3 linked regions of the Neurospora crassa OR74A genome follow. The protein of the gene in region 1 interacts with the protein of each later gene in a pairwise test. Links are inferred from orthologs where the notes say so. Each region holds a gene or a part of one and is shown in the gene's direction. Other genes may lie near its edges. The genes, in order: NCU06929, NCU04611 and NCU06389.

Evidence for each region.
Region 2: the proteins of NCU06929 (region 1) and NCU04611 interact in binary tests that used the Saccharomyces cerevisiae proteins (3 or more experiments, as listed by UniProt). The link is inferred for Neurospora crassa OR74A from reciprocal best matches to the Saccharomyces cerevisiae genes SPT5 and SPT6.
Region 3: the proteins of NCU06929 (region 1) and NCU06389 interact in binary tests that used the Saccharomyces cerevisiae proteins (3 or more experiments, as listed by UniProt). The link is inferred for Neurospora crassa OR74A from reciprocal best matches to the Saccharomyces cerevisiae genes SPT5 and PSY2.

The regions. Positions count from the first base shown.
Region 1 is NC_026507.1:793,366-797,557, forward strand, and holds the start of NCU06929 (transcription elongation factor spt-5), read left to right. Parts: upstream 1-1,380; 5' UTR 1,381-1,685; coding exon 1,686-2,051; intron 2,052-2,221; coding exon 2,222-4,192. Other genes in the region: NCU06928 (hypothetical protein), read left to right, coding at 1-901. UniProt on the Saccharomyces cerevisiae protein: The SPT4-SPT5 complex mediates both activation and inhibition of transcription elongation, and plays a role in pre-mRNA processing.
Region 2 is NC_026505.1:1,505,099-1,509,073, forward strand, and holds the start of NCU04611 (transcription elongation factor spt-6), read left to right. Parts: upstream 1-1,169; 5' UTR 1,170-1,560; coding exon 1,561-1,728; intron 1,729-1,801; coding exon 1,802-1,984; intron 1,985-2,039; coding exon 2,040-3,975. UniProt on the Saccharomyces cerevisiae protein: Histone H3-H4 chaperone that plays a role in maintenance of chromatin structure during RNA polymerase II transcription elongation thereby repressing transcription initiation from cryptic promoters.
Region 3 is NC_026504.1:2,675,690-2,679,789, reverse strand, and holds the start of NCU06389 (DUF625 domain-containing protein), read left to right. Parts: upstream 1-1,298; 5' UTR 1,299-1,578; exon of another isoform or gene 1,579-1,643; 5' UTR 1,644-2,324; coding exon 2,325-2,559; intron 2,560-2,620; coding exon 2,621-2,699; intron 2,700-2,754; coding exon 2,755-4,100.

The DNA.
Region 1 (4,192 bases):
AACGACCTCACAGGCCAACGCTGCTGAGGAGAAGAAGACGACGGAGAAGGCCGAAAAGGCCACAAAGGAGAAAGGAGAGAAAGCCGACAAGTCATCGGCCCAACAGGCGCTTCGTTCAAAGGGCCCCCCGCCGCCGCCCAAACAACCTGATTATTCGGCCATCGTATTCGAGTTTGCGGGAGGAAACGGTGATCGGTACCTCTTTCCGAAGTTCAGCATTCTGGATTATCAGACTATTCCCAGTAGCAGCGCTAGCAGTACCCAAGGACAGCAACAACAACAACAGCAGCAACAGCAGGTGGTGGCGTCATTCCTTATCATCAGGAGGGGAAGCAAAGCAGTATATCCGATGGCGGACCCGGAGCTTGATTACTACCAGCCCATAACTATAAGGTTGTTTACGGCGGCTCCCAGTGGCAAACATGTGCTGGATAATTTGGCAAGAGTAGTGGCGCCGGAGGAAGAGGTCAAGAGGTACATGGACGATATCATGGATACCATGCAACGAAGCGAATACGTTCTACTGGCCATGAGGCTGCCCAGACCCACCGAGACGGCAGAGAACGGCGAAGGAGAAGGAGATAAGGCGCAGGACGGGGCCGGCGCGGCCGGGTCTGGAAAGGGACAACACGCGAAGGAGAAAGACAAGGACAAGGAGGTGGTGATGATTGATGCTCCATCAAGAGCGGAGGAAGCGGCGGCGGCGGAACTGAAAGCGCCAAAGGCGGCAAGGACGGGGGGAGTGTTGTGGACGACGGCAAACAAGCAGATACCCAAGCCGGAGATTAGGGAGCTTCCACCGAGGCGGAATGCTAGAATCATGATGGAGACCGCGGAAGATGAGCAGTATCAGAGCTTCATTCAGACGGTCACCCGGAAGGATAAGGAGGTGGTCAGGTGATTGTTTTTTTCCTGGAGGAGCGCTGTATCATGTAGATAGTTTTGTCTGTCTGTCTCTGCCAGGAGTTGACTTTTACTTGGCCGTGTTTACTAGGTATGAAAGGTTGCCTAGTAATGGTGTTGACAAGGGCAAACGAAAGGGAGGTTATCACGGTGCAGCGCTCTCTTCTACATACTCTATCAGCTGAAAGTACTTGTACTTCAGCCACGTGCGCAAATGAATAGACGATGAGGTATCTCTACCTACCTAGGTACCCGTCCTGGACTGCAAGGTCCTGGTCGAATGTAACCTGAACAAAAGGAACCTCTTGCCGGCCGGAGACCTGACCTTGGCCGCGAATAGCCTAGCGGCTTATTCCAGTGCTTGGCAGCAGCAGCAGCACACTCCCCTGCCGTCCAGTGTCCTCAACCAACCGGGGGTGGAGGTGTGACCGTCCGTGCTTCCAAGTCCACCCACTCACTGTCCAGTTGTGGGCCGTGCAGCTCTCTTTCCGCCTCACGACCCGCGGTGCTGCTGCTGCAAGTCTGCAACTGAACACTCACAGCGAGTCGACGCCTCAAAAGTCGGTCCATTTCCCACCACATCATCCATCGGCTCGAGGCCAGCCAATCTTCCTTTTCTCACCTACAAATATAATCCCACATCTCGCGACCTACGGCCATCTCTCCCTTCCTCTCTCCTTTTCCATCTCTCGCCCACACCTCGACACAACGCGCGACCGCCGGTAGTACGACTGTACGACACCCCTGTCGCTCGCCGCTCTCTTTCAGATAAATTATTCAGAATGGCGTCAAACAGCTGGCAGTTCGCCGGCGCCGACGACGAGTCCGACGATGACAACTTCAACCCCGCCCCCGCCGACATGTCGGACGAGGAGAACAACGACAACGACGAAGAGACCACGCACAACCACCGCCCCGCTGGTAAGACCGTGAGGCAGGCTAGTAGCCCGGTACCAGACGAAGAAGAGGAAGAGGAGGAACATGACGAAGAGGAAGACGCGCGCCCGGCCAAGCGATCGCGTCGAGATCACCACGACGATGACGAGGATGAAGAGCAAGATGAAGAGGAGAACGAGGAGATAGATGAGGAGGAAGAGGAGGACGAAGAGGAAGAGGAAGATGAGGAAGACGAGGATGATGTTCATGGTGTAAGTCCGGATCCCAATAATGTCCCTCCACACTTCAATTCTGCAGCACCATCCCATCCACACTTGCCAGAAAAAAACAACAAAAGACAAGTCCCGGTGCAGATGACCCGCCAAACCTACCCGTGTCGCCACATCGGGGACCTAGCTAACCCGCTGTCTTTTGTCCGCAGGGCAATCGTCGCAAGCGTCGCAACAAGGACCGTAGAGCTGCCTTCTTCGATATCGAAGCCGAAGTTGACGACGAAGACGAGGGAGAAGACGAAGTCGGCGACGGTGAAGAGATAGAGGACTTCATCGACAATGCCCACCCTGACGATATTGCCGACAGCGGCCGCCTTAACGATGACAGAAGACACCGCGAGCTCGACCGCCGCCGAGAGATGGAGGCCAGCCTCGACGCTGAGAAACAGGCAGAGATCCTGCGTGAGCGCTACGGCAAGCGCGCCCCGGCTAGAGGTTACGGAGACATGGCCATTGTGCCCCGTCGCTTGCTTCTTCCCAGTGTCGAGGACCCCAGCATTTGGGCCGTCAGGTGTAAAGAAGGAAAGGAGCGTGAGGTCATCTTCTCGATTATGCGTCGTATCGAAGAGCGAATGGGCACCAAGAACGAGGTCCCCATCACGGCTGCTTTCGAACGTGGTGGTATCAACTCGGTCATGAAGGGATACATCTACGTTGAGGCTCAAAGACAGAACGATATTCTCGTGGCTCTCGATGGCATTCTCAACGTTTATCCCAGGAGCAACATGCACCTCGTCGAGATCAAGGACATGCCCGACCTCCTGCGTGTCATCAAGACGCCTAACCTGGAGCCCGGCGCTTGGGTTCGTCTCAAGAAGCCGGCCAAGCACGCCGGTGATCTTGCTCAGGTTATCGACGTTACAGAAAACGGCCTCGAGGCCAGAGTCCGTTTCATTCCCAGACTCGACTACGGTGTCAGGGATGACCCCGTCTTCCAGGCCGATGGCAAGCGCAAGCGCCCCGGTGTGCCCGGCCCTCGTCCTCCCCAGCGTCTGTTCAGTGAAGCCGAGGCGCGCAAGAGACACCCCCGTTACCTCCAGGGGAACCCGCAGACCAACAGCTGGAACTACAACGGCGATGATTTCGAGAACGGTTTCCAGGTGAAAGACATCAAGATCCAGCAGCTCGAGGTCAAGAATGTCAACCCTACGTTGGAGGAGGTTACCAAGTTCGCCAGTGGAGCCGAGGACGGTACAGAGAACCTCGATCTTAAGGCTCTTGCTGCTACTCTCAAGGATAGCGCTAAGAGTGTTGCGTACGTCCCTGGTGATATTATCGAGGTGTATGAGGGCGAGCAGCAGGGTGTCATCGGCAAGGCCACCAATGTTCAAGGCGACATCGTCACATTGCAGGTTACCGAGGGTGATCTTGCTGGCCGGACCATCGACGTCCCCAACAAGGGTCTGCGCAAGAGGTTCAGGATTGGTGACCACGTCAAGGTCATTGGTGGCAGCCGGTTCCGTGACGAAGTTGGTATGGTTGTCAAGATCGTGGACGACAGAGTCACCCTCCTCACAGACCAGACCAACACGGAGATCACCGTGTTCAGCAAAGACCTCCGTGAGGCATCTGATATTGGTGGCCAAGGCTCTCTTGGACAGTACTCCCTCTTGGATCTTGTGCAGTTGGATGCCACGACTGTCGGCTGCATCGTTAAGGTTGATCGCGAGTCAGTCGTGGTGCTAGACCAGAACGGCGATACCAAACAGGTCCAGCCGTCGCAAATCACCAACAAGCTCCCCAAGAGGAAGTTCGCTGTGGCTGCTGACCGCAACGGCTCCGAAATCAGGCTGGACGACGTGGTCCGTGAATATGGTGGCCAGCAACGCCAGGGCAAGATCATTCACATTCATCGCTCTTACATTTTCCTTCACACCACGACCACCAACGAGAATGCTGGTGTTTTCGTCACTCGGGCTAACAGCGTCACCACGGTCGCGGCCAAGGGTGGTCGCAACACTGCTACTGCGGGCCCAGATCTCAGTGCGATGAACCCAGCCCTGAAGCGGAACCCCACTGCTAGCGGCAAGCAAATGCCAGCTCCGCGAACCTTCGGACCTGATCGGGCCATTAACCAAACCGTGGTTATTAGACGCGGTGGTTACAAGGGCTTGCTCGGA
Region 2 (3,975 bases), on another chromosome or scaffold:
GGACGGCACACCGTAGTGGGGGGGAAATACAGTGCGGACTCTGAGAGAGGTCCGGACGAAGCTATTCCCAGGTACTTAGCCATACGTACTTATAAATAGACGGTGCCATCTTGCGCACAGCCTATCTCCAGTGGACCCTGTGAAGCTCTTGTAGTGTAGCTCGCTTACAGGCAAGAGATGAAGAAACTCTCTGGCACGCATGTGTCCCTGTTACCAGCAAAACAAAAGAAAAGTATCAACATGCCAATGACAGGACCATCTTCAAGTCTAACCGCAGCACAGCAAGCACAGTGCACGTCATGTTCGTACAACCCCAGAGCTCTCAAGAAGCGCGCCATGAGATGTCGAATCAAGCAAAATACCGCTGTGATTGGGCATGACCAGAACCAACAGTCGGCTGTGATCCGGATGATGCCAGGGACTTGTTCGAGATATGCGTGCCAAATGGTGGGTCTAAGCGCGGATGGCTGGGGATCATGACCCCCCGAAGAACATCTGAAACCAAAGATGCTCGGTTCAACTCAAGTGGTGAGTTCCATGATGCGCGGCATGAACGTCTCTCAGATATAGTTTAGCCATGCGGATCCCAGAGTTCAAGCATGTCGGCGACTGAACTTTGCATAAACATGCCCAATGTGCTCAACATCATAGTTAGAGCTTCCGTTGCTAGCTCCCCTCGAGGGCATGGATAGTGTCGGTTGGTGTCGGTTGGTGTCTGTACACGGCACCATATGCTCCGATGTGCACTTTACAATATTGTTTTTGTTTTTTGTTGTTCTCCTGACAGATGAACTCCAGATTGTTTGGCTGTCAAGATGTATGGTCGTGACGGTCCGAGACTGGCCTAACGAAATCTGTGAACTGTTTTCGCACGAACCCAAAGGGCGTTGTGACATCCTCGTGAGCAAAATGACAAGCACAGTAAAAGATGCCATCACAAAACATAAAGAATTCGGGACAACTGGAAGTTGGTGATGGGGCTGCTCGCCGTTCAATGTTGACGAAATGCACGGGCCAAGCCATGTGTTCTTTCTCTGTACATAACAGTTCTATGGCCTGGGCCTTGGCGAGGCTGAACGCGTTATGTGGCGCGTGGCGTAACAAGTTCAGTTGGAGGGTATGTACAGGGGCGGGTGGCCGGGCCTTGCTTGGCCCGCCGTCTTGCTCCAAAAATTCGGGTCTGGTCGACACTACACAATTGACGTGCGTGCACCGACCGACGTGACCTGGCGGCAGGCGAACCACCTAGGAGCGAGCAGCACGTACACGGCGGCAGCAGCAGCAAGCGGGCAGCCTTTCGGCCAGAAAGGTTCAGGGCAGTCGCGGTCAACTCAGACCTCCTTCAATTGCTAATCACTTCTTTTTCACCAAACGAGCTCGCTCTTCACCCAACTTCCTCCTGTATTCTTCTTTTCTTTTTTTCATCAGCACCCTAAGAGCGACTGTTGCTCCCATCGAAACGCGCTTCATTTCCAATTCCGACCCTCTTAGGCGGTCGAGACTTGTCCGAAAAGACACCTATTTACACACCAGTTTGCGCCACCCCAACCAGCCGTAACCATGAGCAACAGCATGCGCGACTTGATTGACGGCGAGGCCGAGCTCGATGACGAGGAGGATGATGAGTCCTTTGATGAGGAGGCCGGCGACCGCCCGAGAAGAAGACCCAACATTGATGATTCCAGCGAAGAGGAGGAGGACGACGAAGATGAGGAAGAGGCTAGAAAGGTATGCCGCCTCTGGCCCGATGCTGCAACATAGCTCCGGTTGGGAACAACGCTGACACACCCACCGCTCACAGATTCGCGAAGGTTTCATCGTAGACGAAGATGAAGAGGACGAGGCCGAGGATTCGGATGCGCGCGAACGCCGTAGGAGAAAGAAGCGCCGTCGTGAGCGCGAAGAGGAGGAGCAGCTCGACGAAGAAGATCTCGACCTGATTGGTGAAGCGATTCCTGAGTGGGAGCGGAAGCCACAACCCCAGGTATGTGCTCTACGGTTTCCGGTGATATCATCCAGTCGGCTCACCTTTTTCCAAGCAAACCAAGTTCAAGCGCCTGAAACGGGGTCATAGGGATGACCACCGCCCCACTGAACGTCGCGGTCTTGCCGAGATCTTTTCCGATGAGGACGAAGAGCACGATGATCGAGGCTACGGCCGTCCCAGCGGCCGGGCTCAAGCGGACGAGTTCGACGACTTCATCGAAGATGATTACCCCGAGGATGACGAAGAACGTCGACACCGCGAAGAAGATGAGGAGGTTGCTCGTCCCAAGGATAGGGGCCTCAACATCGACACAACCGGCCTCGACAAGGATGCTCTCGAGGACATGGATGCCATTTTCGGTAATGGTGAAGATTACGAATGGGCGTTGCAGCTGGAGGAAGAGCAGGAGCACGCGGAGCGAACAAAGGAAGATATCGAGTTGCAGGATGTCTTCGAACCTTCGCAGCTCAAGGAGAAGCTTCTTACCGACGAGGATAACAGGATTCGGTTCAACGACGAGCCTGAGCGCTTCCAGCTCGATCGCAAGGCTTTCAAGAATCTCCAGATGACGTCCGATCAGTTCAAGGAGGAGGCTCGGTGGATCAGCAACCTGATGCTACCCAGCAAAAATCTTTCCAGTGAGCTTCACGGTCCGTTCAACAAGGCCGTGGGCAAGGTCCTCGAATTCTTCGTTATCGACGGCGTCGAAGTTCCCTACGTTTTCCAGCACCGAAGAGACTACCTCATCCACGCCAAGAAGATGCGCAACCCGAATCGCCGTGACGATCCTGACGCTCCCGAATATACTGTTGACGCCGAGAAGCTCCTTACCCAAGATGACCTGTGGAAGGTCCTGGATCTCGACATCAGGTTCCGGTCTTTCCTGGAGAAGCGTAACGCGCTAGAACAAACTTACGACAAGCTCAAGGAAAAGACCCGGGACGATATCCTTGAAGAGATGATACGCCAAGCGCAGTCCATTGAGGAGCTCCAGGATCTCCAAGATTACCTAAACTTCCAGTATTCGGCGGAGCTGAAGGACCTTGCTGCCAACGATAATAGCGCACAGCGTGAGATTAAGAGGGCCGGTGGCAGGACAGCCCAGTTTGAACGCATCCGGCGATCCAATGCCTACAAGTTTGTCCAGGCACTCGGAATAACGCCTGATCGTCTTGCCAAGAACATTCTGCGCGAAAGCAGCAAGGTGACCTCAGAGGACGATTCAAGGCTACCAGATGACCTGGCCGACACATTGGTAGACGCCGATTTCCCGACCGGCGAGTTGGTCATCAATGCTGCTCGCCAGATGCTTGCTGAAGAAATGTTTGCCAGTCCTCGGATGCGCAAACACTTCAGGAAAAATTTCTACGGCATGGGCATTGTGAGCTGCCGTCGTACTGACAAGGGTCTACGCAAGATTGACGAAGCAAATCCTTACTACGAGGTCAAGTATCTCAAAAACATGTCTATCGCCGATCTTGCCGTTCGCCCGGAGCTCTTCCTCAAGATGATGAAGGCAGAGGAAGAAGGGCTCATCGAAATTAAAGTTTCGCTGGAGAACGACCGCGAATTTAGGCAACAACTTTTTAGTGATTTCGCCTCGGAGAACTTTAGCGAGCTTGCCGACAAGTGGAACGCGGAACGTCAAAAGGTGATCGATTTGGCCTTTGACAAGCTGGTAAAGGTTATTGTCAAGGGTGTGAAAGACTCCTTGCGGACGGCGTGCCAGGATGAGCTGCTTAAAACCTGCCGTGAGCTTTACTTCAAGAGACTGGATCAAGCCCCTTATAAGCCCAAAGGTATGGTTATTGGCACGACTCCCCGCGTGCTCACGCTATCGAATGGCATGGGCGATCCCAACCGTGAACCTGTATCCTGGGTCTCGATGGATGAGGATGGAAGGATTCTCGAACACGGTACCTTTACCAACCTAGCTCGCGATGAGAGTCAACGCGAGGCCTTGGCTGAGCTAGTCAGGCGTCGGCAAC
Region 3 (4,100 bases), on another chromosome or scaffold:
TGTGGGTCCCGATAAATTACCTCGAGTCGGGTGTGAGACCCCGATAACCTGGAAGACCCCGAAAGAATAGAACGGCACCGCGGGAGAGAGCGGGAGCGGGGTGGCGTGGGAGCGGGGATACCTGAGGGGAACGCCTCTGACAGCGGAGTGCCCCTGGGAGGCCATGTTGCCGACAAGAAGGCGTCCAGCGAGACAAAGGTACGAGAAAAGGTAATTACAGGTAATTGGTGGACGTGCCCTGGGAACGCATTCAAATGGAGATAGGATCATAAGGCATGCTGTCTCCACTTTAAAATTGTCCTCCACCAGCGACTTCGCTTTGAGGTAAGGTATTTGGCTGGAGGATTGTCGCTGGCGTACTTCCAGGATCCTACTTCTTCCATCCGACCATTCCAATTGTCAGTCTGTGACTCCAGTGCTTCAATGTCTCGGAATGGAGACGTGAAGGTCATAGCCGGAATGGGGAACGGGGGAAGTGGAGCTCGAGATCCTTTGACCTAGTGTACAGTATGCAAAATATTTGTGGCAGCCGGGAGACGTGCTTTTGACCGCCCCAGAGATAGGGCGGAGGGGGTGGATCTCATCGATATAAATGTGACATGGCCTGGATTCGGGCACTGGGGGAACGAGCTGGGAGGGTAGAAGTTTAAACCCTAAAATCCCAACTTTTGCGAACGAAGCTTTCGGAAGAGCAGCCGAGGTGCGCGTGTCATGGTGTGCACTGGGTGCGTCAAAGCAGCGAAGTACCTATGCTTAATAAGACGTTCCGCGGCGCGTCCACTTTCTCTTAACATTGGTAGAACGCGCTTTCATCTCTTTCGCGGCATTGACGTCAGCATTGGTTTAGTTCATTATCAGCAAGCCAGACGGAAAACCCTCCATCGTGAAAACAGTCAGTATAGAGATAGAGTATCTTTTCATTCTGGCATCTGACTTGGACTTCCACGGGCGGCCTGACCTTCCATTTGCCCTTGTCTGCTGGCACCTGGCAGCCTAGGGGTTCCGGCGCGCTAAGCTTGATCTGGATTGTTAACAGAGATGCACGCCAAGATCCGCGCGGCAGGGTAGCTAAAGCTCGAGCCAAGCAACAAATGGCATCACAGTACCTAGAGGTACCTACGTACCGACATGTGTAACACTGAACGTCGGGCACGAAGTCACCTCACAGCACTTCGACAGGCGGTGCTTCCACCCACTTTGCACGCTTGACGGGCAGTTTCCACTTTCAACCATCCATTCAGCGAATCTGTTCGCGGCTCCCTCCCGTTCGGTCCCCGTCTCTCCCCGCGGGTCACCCACTGGTTTTCGTCAAGCGTCAACAAGACCCCGTCGCCCCATTGCCCCCGTAGCTCCGTGCCCTGCCCTTCCCCCATCAGAGGCTTCACGAGACATCCTGAACCTGGAAGCCGGTCGTCGCAACCTTGGGCCTGCAGCAGGAACGGGATTTCCCAGCGCGATTGACCCGCGATTTCATCATATCTTGCGGCAACGCCTAAGCCACTTTCTTCAATCTGACCCTGCGGCGCGCTTAGTAGTAGTCTCTACCTGGTCTCATTCAATTCAATCTCGACTTGACAGGTGCGCTTTTCCTCGTTATCGCCTTTCGCGCTTCCCAGATCGGCTGACAAGATTCCATCGCCAAGTCGCCATCTCGAGTTTTTTTTTTTTTTTTTTTCTCAAGTGCTTTTTTGTGGTTTCTTTTTTTACTCCCTCAGCTCCTAGCCATCGCGCTATTGCTCGCTACCTTCGACTTTGCTACTCCTGGTACATCTCTCTACAGTATTACCCTTGGCCCCCGGCGGATACAGATACAGGCTATCTCGACCTTTTCTTCAGCCGACCGCACAAGGCTCGACGACTTGCTGCCCGTCGGGTTATCAGAAGTTCAGAACGTCCTACCTCTACGTACCCGTAACAGCCTGGCGTGAGAGCAGCAGAACCCAAAGGCGGGACGATTCATTTTCTAAATTAATATTGGTCTATATTATCCCAATTTTCTTGCGACGTCACACCCCCCCGACGCCGCTTGCGCCAGACGCCCGTATCCCAATTTCCCCCCGAAAGTCCAGAACTTCGACTTCTCCACACTGTCAACCCGTTTCATCAGACCTCGGCCTTATCTAGCGCGATTGCTCCCGTGCGACCCTCAGCCCTCCCCCATCGCGCGCAGAATCCGGCGCGCATCGCTTCGATAAAAAGTGGCGGCACTTGCGGTTATCAGTCACGCCGGGGCCGAATTACCTCTTGAGCACCAGCATATCGATCTGTCCGACGACCTGCTCGACCACGATCAGACCGTCCCGGAGGGGGACGCCGATTCCTTGATGATGGCACACCCGGTGCCTCATCACACAACGGACAAGAAGCGCGTCAAGGTCTACGAACTCCGTAACAATGACTGGTTCGATCGCGGTACCGGCTTCTGCACCGCCCAGTTCGTCCCCGTCCAGGAGAACCAGCCAAAGGAGCCCCGCGTTATCGTCGAATCCGAAGACCACCCCGACCGGCTTCTACTCGAGACCAAGATCGTTAAAGACGATGGCTTTCAAAAACAACAAGGCGCGTTGCCCTGAACCATTACCGTCGACCCCCACCATCGCACTGCTAACTGTCTTTACAGATACCCTGATTGTATGGACCGAGAACAATGTGGATATGGCCTTGAGCTTCCAGGAAGCCGAGGGTTGCGCCATGATATGGTTGGTCCCATCTCCGCGATTCGTCAATGTATGCGCCCGTTAATCATCATGTCAGGAAATTTATTGACGGCGTCCAACAAACCTTCCACAATGTCCTGGGCGGCGCCGACGACAGTCTCTCCGAGGATCTTACTATGGATATGTCAAACTCGACTTTCACGCTCCCCCCGGCCGATCTGGCGAACCTACCCGACCTCGAGAATATCATGCGCCAGATGTCCAATACCGCTAATGGCCGCGAGATGCTGGTCAAGTCCATCATGGAGCACGACATCATACCCTCATTAGGCAACCTAGTCGAGATGGCGGAAGATCTCGAGAGCCTCGACGACCTATTTCGTCTTTGCAACATGACCAAGACGATGCTCCTCCTAAACGACACTGCAATCATTGAAAAGGCTGTTTCTGATGAATGTGTCCTCGGTGTGGTGGGTGCCCTCGAGTACGATCCCGACTTCCCGAAGCACAAGGCGAACCACCGGCAGTGGTTGAGCAACCAGACCCGTTTCAAGGAGGTGGTCAAGATTGAGGATGATACAATCCGGCGCAAGATTCAACAGACCTTCCGCTTGCTGTATCTCAAGGATGTGGTTCTGGCCCGAATCCTAGATGACCCGACCTTCTCCGTCCTCAACTCGCTCATCTTCTTCAACCAGGTTGATATCATCAACCATATCCAGACTAACGGTGGGTTCCTAAACGACCTCTTCTCGATATTCGCCGACCCCTCTGCGCAACACCTACGCAAAAAACAGGCCGTTACTTTCCTCCACGATTGCTGTGCCATCGCCAAGAATCTTCAACCACCAGCAAGGCAAAATCTGTATACCAATTTCCTTGGTCATGGTCTTGTTCGTGTCATTAACTTCGGCTTGTGTGATCACGACGTCACTGTACGAGTTCATGCTACTGATATCCTCGTGGCCATGATTGATCACGATCCCCAGATGGTTCGGCATACGATTTACCGACAGCTGCAGGAACGTCAGAAGCCTCTCACTGATGTGATCATCGACCTTCTTCTGGTTGAGGTTGATCTCGGTGTCAAGTCGCAAATGCAGGATGCCCTTCGGATTTTGCTCGATGTGGCGCCGATCATGCCGCCAGATGCAAGAGAGTATCCTCCCAACCAGCAGCGATTGAGACAGCTTCAGAGCATCGACCCGCAGCAAGAACTTCTGATACAGCACTTCTATGAAAACTCGGCCGCCAGGCTTTTTAAGCCACTGCTCGATCTCGAAGGGCAGACGGAGTTGAAGTTCCAGCCCATGCAGGAGTACATCTTCGGCTACCTGAACGACATACTCTGCTCCTTCATCCGACAACACCAACACAGGGCCAAGTACTTCCTCATCACCCACAGTCTGGCACAGCGCTTCGTTCAGTTGCTTTCATGCAAGC